Tribolium castaneum: one gene and its partners. The main gene of each other region encodes a partner of the protein of the gene in region 2 in a complex. Links are inferred from orthologs where the notes say so. Each region holds a gene or a part of one and is shown on either strand. Other genes may lie near its edges.

Region 1 (4,417 bases), on a different chromosome or scaffold from region 2:
AAAGTCCAAACCTATTCACACGTTAGCCAACAACACATAAAAAAAATACCAACCTCGCCTCGATTTTCGTCGGGTTTTTTCATTTCTTCGCTTTTTAGCGAAAACATGTTGATGTTTTCGTCGATTGGTGATAGAAGACCATCAATTGAAACGCTGTGTTTCATCTTTTGTTCTAATTCGTCCAATTCTTGACGTAGGAGTTCCGAACATTCCTTACTTGTGAAACCATTGGCTGGTGATGACGAAGTGGGCGGAGTTATGGCAAAATGTGATTCGTCGGGTGAACTCAACTCTTTAGTGAAACTAAAATTCTCATTGGTGATTGATAAAGGCTCGGCCTTGCCTTTGGTGGACGCGATTGGTTGTTTTTTGCCAAGTTTGACTGTCATTTCTTTATTTTGACAGCCGAAATCTAATACTCCAATGTTGGCAAACGTGATGTAACCACAATTGTGTTCAAGGTCAATTAAATTCGAGAGATATTTAACTGAGGGATGATTCCGGAATTGTAAGTCTTGAGGGACTTCCCCTAAACTTTTGGAAGGTGTGTCGGGACGAAAGGGAAACGGAATTATGTGAGTCTGAGCCGGTTCATGAACCCCAAAAGCCTGAATCAATACGGGGGAAAATTGCGCAGCCGCATTCACATGTAAAATATTCGAAACGGTTATAACCGCCGGTTCGTGTAACCACGTGGTTACCAAAAGCCGGGAATACCCGAGGAACATACGCGGAAGTTGCTTGATTTCAGTTCCTAGGGACAAAAATAGTGTTACCAGAAACAAAAAAATCCCCCTCACCTTTGGTTAGTAACAAAGATGGCGGTCCATAACCGCTCACGTGATACAAAAACATTTTAAACCACAACGAATTCACTTCGGGGACTGCTGGCCCTAAATGAGGCGGATTTAGACTCACAACTGGCCGTACTTCCCGGCTTAACGGTGCCATTGATACCAACAAACTGGAAAAAAATCCCTAAAATATGTACGAAATACCACGAAAAAATTACTTGTATTTTTTCTGTAAAAGTCGGCTACAAGTAGCCTCGTCTAATGAATGGAGACTTTCAAGTCGTACCAAATCCAAACCAGAGCCGGGGAGTTTTCTCAAAGCCAAAATCGTGGATCTGAGAATGACAGCATGATCGAAGAAACGTCGCGCTTCACCTTCACCTTCAGCATCAAGAACTGATACTTTCTCAAGTTCGGTTAAAAAACTATCAAGACTTTCGTCGCACAATTTACCAACTTCAAACATGGTCACGGCGTGTTTTTTTAAGCCCTAAAAGTCACAACCTACCTCAAATTTAGTTTTATTTAATCCGGTTTTTGTAGTTTTTTGACGTAACGGTTGGTGAGAGTGTCTCTTTTGACAGTGAAAACTTTACCTACCGGTGATAAATTTCCCATCATTAGGAAAGCAGTCAAGGCCGAATCGAAGAGAAAAGCCACTCGATGCCCCTTTCGGGTCAAGGTCGAAGGACTTTCGGGTTGCTCTTGGAGATTATCACTGAGACTCAAGGTCAGTGGTGTCACTTCAACGTTTCTTCAAATCATACAATCATAGAATCATTTGCAATTTAGTGAAAAATAAGTACCTAATTTCTTGTGTTGGTATTAAATGCCACGTTGGGTGTCTTTTGACACGTTCTTTGTCAGTTTCGGGATGCAATTTTCGTGCAAATTGTAAGCGACAATAGAGTGAAACTGCCTGTTTTACCGACTCAGTATCCACCTGTAAAACCCCGGCAAGTTCGCCAACTGTCGTATGTTCGTCAATTGACACGAATATTTTATACAACAGTGTTTCAAAATAATCACCAAGGACACGATTCATTACAAAACCTTGCAAAGGCGGCACTTGTATACAATCAACTGCGGTTATAGGAACGTCCAAATAAATCAAACCTTTCCTGGAATTAACAGTTGGTGACATTGTTTTACGTAAAGGGGGAATTACTTGTAAAGACTCAAAACAACATGATAGTTTAATTCGCCCGCAGTTTGTGACCCCAAATCAATTAAACGGTCAATCACCGCCAACTCTTCCTCATTCACCAACTGTAAAAAAATTAAATTACTGAATGTGTAATTATTAAAAGTGACAAACTTTGACGTCTTCTTCCAATACAAGGCCAACTTCGACCCTCCACCACGGCTCAATGTGTATGTCTTTGGGGACGGGTGGTAGGAGCCCCCTTACATTTTTTTTCCCAAACAAGCGCCCTCTATTCGACCTCGACTTATTCATCAATTCGATGTATTCATTTCTGCCAATCCCCAATAACCTCAAACCTGAAAAACACCAAATGAGGGAAACACGCCCCAAAATAAATTCGCGGGAAGTACAATCTGCTGCCGTAAAGTTCGGAAGAGTATCGTAACTTTTCTCAGCTTGCATCAATTTCTCAACCACTGAAATGTAGTAATTGAACGGCGTTATCCGCAAACCTTTGACAATCATATCGGCCAAGTGGTAGGGGAATAACATGAGTCTCTCTTTACTGTAAGCCACCACACGTTCGTAGTAACGTTTCTCATCTCGGACGATGTGTCGTACTGGAACAAAGACAATCAAGGGGGCTCACACACACCCCAAAGACACTCACCTAAATTTCCGCGATAGCGCAACTGGTTTTTAATACTGAACGAGACCACGTAGCGTTCGTAGTCTTTGACCGAATTGTTTAAAATCTGGAAAACGGGGGGTCATTTGTCGCAACTAAAAACCAAACTACCTGTTTGATATGTGCGGGGAGTTGAGACCATGGCACGTTTTTACGGATATTTTCCTCGATTTCGGCATTCATGCTGGTAAATGGGTTAATTTGTTGTTGATAAACCCATTTGACAAGTGACAGTCAGTAATGACAGGTGTCACAATTGCACAGTTTTGCTGTTTTTACGCGATTTTGGCATGAATTGGGCAAGAAAGCGTGTTTTTTTTTTAAATAAATTAATGTAATGCTGCTTAATTAATTTTTTTGCGTTGTTTAATCAAGAAAAAGTGTGAGCTGGCAGGGCTACCAACAAGTGTCTCTAACCACACACTTTTTGACACTGGCATGTGCAAAAAGTGGGGTTGGACCAGTTTGTAAAAAGTGCTAATAATCATGGAATTGGGGGGCGAATTGTCCCAAAAACACGTCCTGTGTCGCTTCAAGTCCGATTCAGGCGAAATCACCGGCGACATCATCGACTTGCCCTTGTCTTGTACTGTGTCCCAGTTGACTGAAATTTGCAATGCTCTCCTCGAAACCACAAATTCGTACATTTTTTACGCCAACGACACCGAAATCACACATTCGCTCGAAAAAACCTTAAACTTGTCGGACTTGAACACCGAAACCGTCATCGACATCCTCTACCAGCAACAAGCCGTGTTCCGAGTGCGTCCCGTGACAAGATGTACAAGTTCAATGCCAGGCCATGCCGAAGCTGTCATTTCCGTGAGTTTTTCCCCCGATGGTAGACACCTAGCGAGTGGTTCTGGCGATACAACCGTTCGGTTCTGGGACGTGGACACCCAGACACCTTTTAAGACATGTAAAGGGCACACGAACTGGGTGTTGTGCATTGCGTGGGCCCCCAATGGGCGTAAACTAGCTTCGGCGTGTAAAGACGGCAAGGTGGTGGTATGGAACCCCGAAAATGGGGCCCAGATTGGTAAAACTCTAATTGGGCATAAATCATGGGTCACGGCCCTGAGTTGGGAACCCTACCACCAAAACGCCGAGTGTCGCTTTCTAGCCTCGGCGAGTAAAGATTGTGACGTCAGGATTTGGGATACGGTCCTGTGTTCTTGTACTAGGGTTATTTCTGGGCATTTGAAAAGTGTGACTGTGGTCAAGTGGGGCGGTCTGGGGCTCCTTTATACGGCTTCGCAGGACCGGACTGTTAAAGTTTGGAGGGCTAAAGACGGTGTGTTGTGTCGTACGTTAGAAGGGCACGGTCATTGGGTCAACACTTTGGCCCTCAACACTGATTATATCCTCAAATTGGGGGCGTTTGACCCAGTCAAAGACACCCAAATCCAATCACAAGACTTCGTCCTGCGTCGTTACAACGAAATCGTTAACCCTATCGGTGATGAAAGACTCGTCTCGGGCTCCGATGATTTCACTTTGTTTTTGTGGGCCCCCTCAAAAGACAAGAAGCCGTTAAATCGGCTCACGGGGCACCAACAATTAGTTAACGATGTGAAATTTTCACCAGATGGTCGCATTTTTGCCTCGGCTTCGTTTGATAAGAGTATTAAATTATGGGAGGCCAAAAGTGGTAAATTTATTTGTACGTTAAGGGGGCACGTACAGGCTGTTTATGTGATTTCGTTTTCGGCCGATTCTAGACTTTTAGTGAGTGGAAGTGCCGATTCAACACTCAAATTGTGGAATTTGAGGGAGAAGAAATTGGAA
Region 2 (4,319 bases):
AAGTTGTTTTTTTTAAGGTTGAACTATACTGACGCAAAATTTGAAATAAGATTTTAAAGAAAAGTAATAATAATTGTATAATAATTTTATAGCGTGAAGTTTTAATATTGAAGACCGAAACGAAGTTGAGGGCTTTAATAAATAAAAAAATATAAAACTTGTTACTTGACCACCGGTAAAATGAAACGAATCTGTTAATTGTAAAAAAGGCTATTTTGTTTATTTTTTTTTAACTGGATAATGTGCCCAGTATAGTCCTACCTACCATAAGTACAAAATTTTAAACAATGTTTTGTCTTTTCCAGGTGAACACGATGACATAGATCTTTTCTAAATTGCTTCATTTAATTTTTTTGTTAAGTACGATCATTTGTAACAAAATTAGTATTATTACAAAAATAACAATATTGTGGATTCGTTTAAGCATTGTTTTATTTAGATAAGAATAAACAAATGGTTAAAGTTTTTTTTCCTATAATAAAATATCTACAGTAACAATAAATATGTGTAACTCTATTTAAATTTCCAAATTACTCCTTATTCTTCAACTGCTTTAAAATCTGTTCAGATACAACTTTTGTAGCTTTATCGGCATTGGGTATAAGAAATCGATCCATGTCAGATATAATTAAATTCTCACCATCTGGCACGCCATACTTGAAAGTGATAAGTTCAGGATGACGTTTCCTCGCTGTTATTTTAACAATCGCCGACAGGGGGCGTTTTACAATAACTTCAGCAATGCCACCTTTCCTATCGGGCATTTCTCTAAGTACTATAAGCTCACTGTTAGTCACAATCAAGTGACTTTTGTACATAAAACCATTGATTTTCACCTCCTGACACGGAAAATGTTCAATAACTTCGGGATGTTTCAACCATGATTGTATTTGTACCAATTCGCGACATTCTTCATTAGTTGCATCTTCCATGTTATTGGTGGTAGCATTTTCATGATCATCATCTATACTAAAAACAGGTGCCACATTTCGGTACCTTTTCCCGATTTTGTCGCTACTGCTAACATGTCTCTCTTGCACGGGACTATTGTTGGGATTAACGATATAATCGATAAGTTTTTCTTTAACTTCGGCCGATTTCGATTTCATTGCTGCTGAAATTTTCCCAAACAAATCGGTCGATTGTCCCTTGACTTGACCTTGCTGTTGTTGTTGTTGTTGTTGCATTGGGCCACACACAATGCAAAGTTTGGGATTATGATCTTGTAAAAACTCTAAATCATCCGAAAAGTAATGATGAAGAGCACAATAACCTCCTGTTAGAAGTGAAACGTATTGAGTGTGCTTCTGTAGGAAAGAAGCCACAACCATATGAGTGTATTGATCTTCTTCGTTACGACCTGATCCCAAAAAACACAAATGTTCACCACCTGCTGTAGAATTATGTGCCAGAGCTTGTTTTTGCGCCGAAAGTAAGCCTTGAACAGCAGTATTAAAAGCACTTGGTTCTTGAAGCATTAAGTTACAGTCCAAGTGAAAAGCTGTAGGTAAATGACCGGCATTGTACTGTTCCACAGGTCGACAATCAACTAGGAAAAATCTTACAGCGTCTATATTTCCACTCTCATTGGACGTATTTTCAACTAGTTCGCTTACGGAAACTGGGAGACATAACGCTTGAGAGACTACAGCATCATTTGTGCCATTATACAAGTTTTGCATTAAATCGGTCCGAAAACTAACGGGTGTTTTAAGGGCATAATATTGGGCCAAGGAACAAAAATCACCAACGTCTTCAGCCTCAAGAGCACACGGCATGTTCGTCAAATTCGAAATAATTACATCTCGAGATTCGCTTTTCATTGAAATGATTTGCTCGCGTGCGTTTATTACCATGATTAACGAGAGGAAAAAAATGAAAAACGGGTCAGACTGTTGAAAATAATAGTCCCACATGTTTATGACGACTTGTAAATTACAAGTGGCTGCGAAAAGTGACTGGAACCATGTCAGACAATATTTATCAGGTGTGATACGTTTAGTGTCAAGAAATGAACACAATTCTGGATCGTGATAGAGCAATAAAAGACGCAAAATATGGAAAGCGTTGCCGTCATTTGTGTGACAATTTTGAGGCACGTAAGTGTCTCTAATTGCCTCAAACAGGTTGTAAGTGGTTGAACGATTCACTTTCAGTGTTAGCAAAGGGAGCAGAAGCTCAATCCAGCCGTTGTTTTTAATATAAGTCAAGTTGCGACTTTTGCAATAAAATGTTAAAATCGATTCTAAATCGGATACAACGGATAATTTATCCTCTTCGTCATTGCCGAGTTTTGAAACGAAATTTCGACAGTCTTCTCGTAGCACAGATTGATTAGGCAAATCATAGATTTCGTTAAAGTGATCGAGTTGGTTCCCCTTGTCTCTTACGTCGAGACATATCTAAAAAAAATACGACACATTATTTATGACGAGCAAAATGATTGGTATGTTGCTAACCTGCCAGACTTCAGCTCGTAAATTGTCAGGTAAAGGTTTGCCTTTGCAAATACAGTAAATATCAGCAACTGAACATTCTTCCAGTAAAGCGCTTTCTAAATCAGCCACCCTATAATAAAATAATAACTAAAGTAAATAAATGACACTGCACAGGCGAGACTTGGTTTCGTTTTACAACAACAAAAAATTGAGGCAACTTTATTATGCTTGAAAACTTACCATCCGTTGTCGTCATCAACACTTGCCATTTTCACATATTAAAGAAAAAATAAGCGACGAAAAAGAGGAAAATACCACATCAACGTGTCAAAAAGTGACATTCAAAACAGCAGATGATAAGAGGGATTGGCAGCCATGGGTACCAGAAAGTTTTAAGTATGGCGGATATTTTAAAATTTATATCCCATTTCAGCAGTTCTTAGAATTTTGCAAAAGCGCATTTGATTTTTTTTGTAGTGACATGGAGCAAAAATTGAAAGTTTTGGTGGGGTTTTTTAGCCCTTTATTTAGTTTAACACATAATTCCTTTCTTTCTTTACAGTGTTACAAAAATTTTGGATTCAATATTTGTTTGGTATTAGAAATATGGGTAGCATATTTTCCAAACAATATGTTAATTAAAAGGATTTCTTGAATAAACGTTATGTTGTATTTGTGTTTTATTTAAAAGGACCGCCAAAAATAAAACAATGAGAAGATGAACGGAGATAAATCAATAAAAATATAAACAAAGTGTTTTGGGGCTATGGAAATGGTGACTTCAGGATTACAAGCCGCCACTCCGACAGATTTATCTGAGTCTCCTTCCGGACCTCTTCGAAAGAAGACAAGGATATTCAGCGATTTTAGAACCCTGATGGACTGTAAGTGGGAAGATTCTCACTACGAGAAAGTAAAGGTAATGGCAATTAGCCCCTTTGCACAAGTAGAGGAAGTTGCTCCGGTGATTATTAGATCGAGGGAGCAAAAAGAGGAGGGGGCACTGCTGCGATTACTTAGTCAGCGGTGCCCACGGTACAGACAAAATGTGCTAAAAGGAGAGAACCCTATAAATGCCATGGTAGTAACCATTAAGCCAACAGTTGCGCTGGGACTCAACGCAGTGAGCGAAACTCCAGAAGATAGCTAGCTATATGTTTGTAATAGCTGCTGAAGAGATGGAGAAGGCAACTGGTTCATTTCCGAGAACATACGATGCTCTCCTGAAGCTGAAGGATAGAGTAAAAGAATTTGGAATTCCAAAAATTGCAGTGGCATGTGACTCGACATGCAGAGTAGAGCACCAAAGACAGATGTTAGAATATGTTTTCAAGGTGGAAGATGTGGAGGTTGTCTCCACATCATGTCATACTCAAATTCTTGAGTCTAATTTTGCTTTTATCTGCAATTTTCTTTTTTTTTTAAAACAAAGTTGGAGAACGTAAAATCCTATGCAAAATGATCCGGGGAATCGATTGGCATCGAGAAAATTGCCAAATTCCCAATGGTTTTTTAGTTATGAATTTTTAAAAATTTTCCCAATTTTTGCATTTGTCTCCAATTTGCTCGAAAACTATTAGTCGGAGAACAATATTTTTTTTTGAAAAAGATAGATAATTTAAAGAGCTTTCCAACGATAATACACTTCATGGGGTTATCTCTGATAGTTCCGGAGCTATTGCTTGACAAAAGTTCCGGGTACCCAAAATCGACAAAAACTGCGACGAAAATTGAAAAATCAAACTTCTAAAAATCGAACATATGGACTTTTTGTGGACTAAAAACAACTTTTTTGGGTTGTTAAGACATGTAGAAGTCCATAAAAATTTACTGGAGTGAGTTTAAAAAAAATTTTTTTTTCACCTCTTTGAAGGTAAGTAT
Region 3 (3,011 bases), on a different chromosome or scaffold from region 2:
TTTGCAGATTGCACAAAGAGCTTATGACTTTGATGATGTCCGAAGACAAGAGCATCTCGGCGTTTCCCGAGGGCGACAACCTGTTCAAGTGGGTAGGTACCATAATGGGGCCCAAAGACACGGTTTATGAGAGTTTAAAATATAAACTAAGTTTACAATTCCCGAACTCGTACCCCTACGCGGCCCCCGTAGTAAAATTCATCACGCCTTGCTTTCACCCCAACGTCGACACCAGTGGGAACATCTGCTTAGATATTTTAAAAGAGAAGTGGTCGGCGCTTTATGACGTTAGAACAATTTTGTTATCAATTCAGGCCTTGTTAGGGGAACCAAACACGAGGAGTCCGCTGAACACGACGGCCGCCGACAAGTGGAAGAAAAAAGAAGAGTACAAAAAGCTGGTGTTAGAGTCGTACAAGGAAGTCTAAATTTGATCTCGCATTAGAAAAATTTCAGTTATTTAAGATGTCATTGTGTAATAATAGACTGCGTACATATTTGTGTTATATAATTTTTACTATTTCTCGTGTGTTATGATTGAATAAAACGATCAAGTTTCAATAATTTATTTACATAAATAAATATTTGGCTTAGCGAATAAAAATACGTTATCACGACTAGGATTTCACGATAATCAAGGTAAAAAATAAAATAATTGTGGTTACAGCCAATACAAGGATCGCGCACATCTTGCGGTTTTTCCGCTGATAAGCGTCTGCCTTTTGCAGCTGTTTGAAGCCTTCGTAGACCTGGATCTGCGTCTGTTCCACGTTGTAGTCAATTCTGTCCAGAACTGTCCCCTGGTCGGCGACCATCTGACTGAGATCTTTGAAAATTTCGTTCAAGTCAACAATGGACTTAACAATTGCGTTCACTTCTTGCTCCCGCTCTTGCGCGAACCGCGTGTTTTCCTCCTCCAGCAACAGCAGTTGTTGCTGGCTCATCTGCTTGGAATTAACGAAGTAGGTATCAATGTCATCCGCCTCCCTGTTGTACAAATCCTCGTCTTCGAGTTGGTTATCAAAGTAGATTTTTGCGCGGTCTTCCCGCGACTGAATTTGCCTCAAATAATTATTCTGTGTTGACCTAAACATTGTGGACAATTCCTGGAGCGCACTTGCCAGCGAGTGATAAACATTGATCGTCAATCTTTGTTCTTTCATTGGCCCTGAAATAACAAACTCAAACACACGACGCACTAATCAAATTATCACCTTCGGAAGAGTGGCTTTTAATAATCTGCACTAATCTGTGCGTTTCGTTGAACATCCGCGTTATTTCTTGCGTGCAATTCTCTATGGCGATTTCGTCGGTGGGGCTTTCGTCGAAAGTAGGCCTGTTCAGGAGGCGCGAATGCAGCATTTTCAGTTCGTTAATCTTAGCTTTGAGTTTGGGCAAAATCATTTGTGCCTTCTCCAAATAGTCGATCCACATGGGGGGCATCCTGTTGTCGTTGCGGTCCCCCAGGCCCTCCTCCATGTCGTTGAGGGACACCAGGTGCATCCGCTCCGAATTGTCCTGCACATTTTGCTCAAAAGTCGGTGTGTTTAACCGTGCTAATTACCTGGTCGGGGTATATGTGGCGGCTGCGGACCGCATTATTCCGCATCAGTAAAAAAACATCAGTCAGACTTCGGGACGCCATCGAATCGTTTGCAAAACCACCGATTAGGATAAAAACATATTTTGCGGTGTGATAAGTTATCACCACCTGTCAAATCACATCTGTTACGTTTGTGAGGTTATATCACGCTGTTTATAACAATGGGTAAATAAATAAATTAAGAGGGAATTTCGAAGCAATGTTGCGATACGACTCAGGTGGAGGGTCAGTGTGTGGTTGTGTAACACGTGCGTAATTAGATAAATTTAATTGCGATTGTGTACTGACGTTAGAAAAATTACGTCAGGGGATAAATTCCCTAATGGCTAGAAAAATGGTTTGACGTTTGGTTTTCAATTTTTCGCATGTTATTCAAGAATGAGGGGTTAAAGGACAACGTGATGATTCATCTGCGTCCAAACAATGGATTATAAAATTTGGCTAATTGGTACGTATGCCAAAAATCTAATATTTTCACAGTGATAACCTCAGTCAATATTAGCTTTCCAATGAACAAGTAGCTCAACCACCAGTGTGATGTTCAATGCCTCGAAGAAGAGTTATTCAATCGTGAATAATGACAATAATTTATCAAACGAAGATGTACTCCCCCACGACCGACGTAGTGGACCAACTGCCCTCAGTGGACCGAGTGACCAACTGGGACATTGCTGGCTTTGTCATATCTATAATAAGCCACATTCTGGACGTGATTTTCGACTGTAACATTGCCTACCGATATTACGTCCACCAACAATTCGCCTATTTCTTCACCACTCTGGGGTTCATACTCGTCCCAGCCTTTGTAAATACTGTCTTCAGTATCAGGATGTACATGCTAGATAAAGATAGTGATAGGAGCGCAACTCTGACTGATAAATTTACCAAAAGGAGATTATGCTGTTTCGCTGTGTTGATATTTCAATTAGCGCCAGTCTTGCGATACTTTGATGCCTTGCAATACGCCATCAAATCAAAGAAAGCCGAAAAGAACAAGGACCAGGAGAATCAGCGGAAGTACTACGAACTTATGGTCAAAGAAGACTCGGATGTCGCCCTGTTGAGGGTCCTTGAGTGCTTCCTTGAAGCGGCCCCCCAACAAATCTTACAACTCGCAATTATTTTCAGTACAAATAGCAACGATCAGGACAGCTTAGACAACAGTGATACTTTTACCTGTAAGTTGATAATTTGCACAAATGATAAAACAATCACTCGTTTCTAGTGGTCCATCAATTGTTATCAATTGGTAGTTCGTTTGTTAGTATGGCGTGGTCAATGGCCTCTTATCAGAGACTGTTACGTGTCTCTCTCAAAAACAAAAACAACATCTCATGGCCAGGGACACTAGTCCATTTCATGTGGCACTTCCTAGTCACAGGTAAATTTATACATTACTTTCACTGGG

The links.
Region 1: the proteins of TBC1D23 (region 2) and protein FAM91A1 are in contact, whole or in part, in a crystal structure (PDB 8JJ9), measured with the Homo sapiens proteins. The link is inferred for Tribolium castaneum from reciprocal best matches to the Homo sapiens genes TBC1D23 and FAM91A1. Residues at the interface, in NP_001186127.1 of Homo sapiens: Arg533, His534, Val535, Ser536, Ser537, Asp539, Val541, Gly542, Lys543, Pro544, Tyr545, Arg546, Val548, Pro550, Val551, Phe552; in NP_659400.3 of Homo sapiens: Arg49, Glu60, Arg61, Tyr64, Asp84, Ile85, Lys88, Gly89, Leu90, Arg91, Ile92, Thr93, Phe95, Ser96, Ile159, Pro161, Tyr176, Ile177, Thr178, Glu179, Asp181, Ile182, Lys190, Asp194, Ile197, Asp198, Tyr216, Asn217, Lys218, Gly219.
Region 3: the proteins of TBC1D23 (region 2) and Syx16 are in contact, whole or in part, in a crystal structure (PDB 8QQF), measured with the Homo sapiens proteins. The link is inferred for Tribolium castaneum from reciprocal best matches to the Homo sapiens genes TBC1D23 and STX16. Residues at the interface, in NP_001186127.1 of Homo sapiens: Leu638, Asn639, Ser640, Val641, Val642, Lys643, Ile644, Thr645, Ser646, Lys647, Lys648, Ser661, Ser662, Ala663, Ile666, Thr683, Lys687, Ile690, Met691; in NP_001001433.1 of Homo sapiens: Asp209, Asp210, Asn211, Thr212, Leu213, Tyr214, His215, Arg216, Phe218, Thr219, Glu220.

The regions. Positions count from the first base shown.
Region 1 is NC_087400.1:99,405-103,821, reverse strand, and holds the start of protein FAM91A1, read right to left. Parts: upstream 2,881-4,417; 5' UTR 2,813-2,880; coding exon 2,741-2,812; intron 2,697-2,740; coding exon 2,612-2,696; intron 2,562-2,611; coding exon 2,352-2,561; intron 2,298-2,351; coding exon 2,113-2,297; intron 2,064-2,112; coding exon 1,963-2,063; intron 1,916-1,962; coding exon 1,601-1,915; intron 1,549-1,600; coding exon 1,395-1,548; intron 1,285-1,394; coding exon 1,013-1,284; intron 965-1,012; coding exon 801-964; intron 755-800; coding exon 54-754; intron 12-53; coding exon 1-11. Other genes in the region: Nle (notchless), read left to right, coding at 3,116-4,417. UniProt on the Homo sapiens protein: As component of the WDR11 complex acts together with TBC1D23 to facilitate the golgin-mediated capture of vesicles generated using AP-1.
Region 2 is NC_087402.1:71,385-75,703, reverse strand, and holds TBC1D23 (TBC1 domain family member 23), read right to left. Parts: upstream 2,838-4,319; 5' UTR 2,708-2,837; coding exon 2,679-2,707; intron 2,586-2,678; coding exon of another isoform or gene 2,569-2,585; coding exon 2,460-2,568; intron 2,403-2,459; coding exon 531-2,402; 3' UTR 415-530; downstream 1-414. Other genes in the region: CCT4 (T-complex protein 1 subunit delta), read left to right, coding at 306-323. UniProt on the Homo sapiens protein: Putative Rab GTPase-activating protein which plays a role in vesicular trafficking. Involved in endosome-to-Golgi trafficking.
Region 3 is NC_087396.1:11,855,624-11,858,634, reverse strand, and holds Syx16 (syntaxin-16), read right to left. Parts: upstream 1,700-3,011; 5' UTR 1,646-1,699; coding exon 1,565-1,645; intron 1,519-1,564; coding exon 1,215-1,518; intron 1,169-1,214; coding exon 618-1,168; 3' UTR 551-617; downstream 1-550. Other genes in the region: vih (ubiquitin-conjugating enzyme E2 C), read left to right, coding at 8-428; XK-related protein 6, read left to right, coding at 2,181-2,781, 2,829-2,984. UniProt on the Homo sapiens protein: SNARE involved in vesicular transport from the late endosomes to the trans-Golgi network.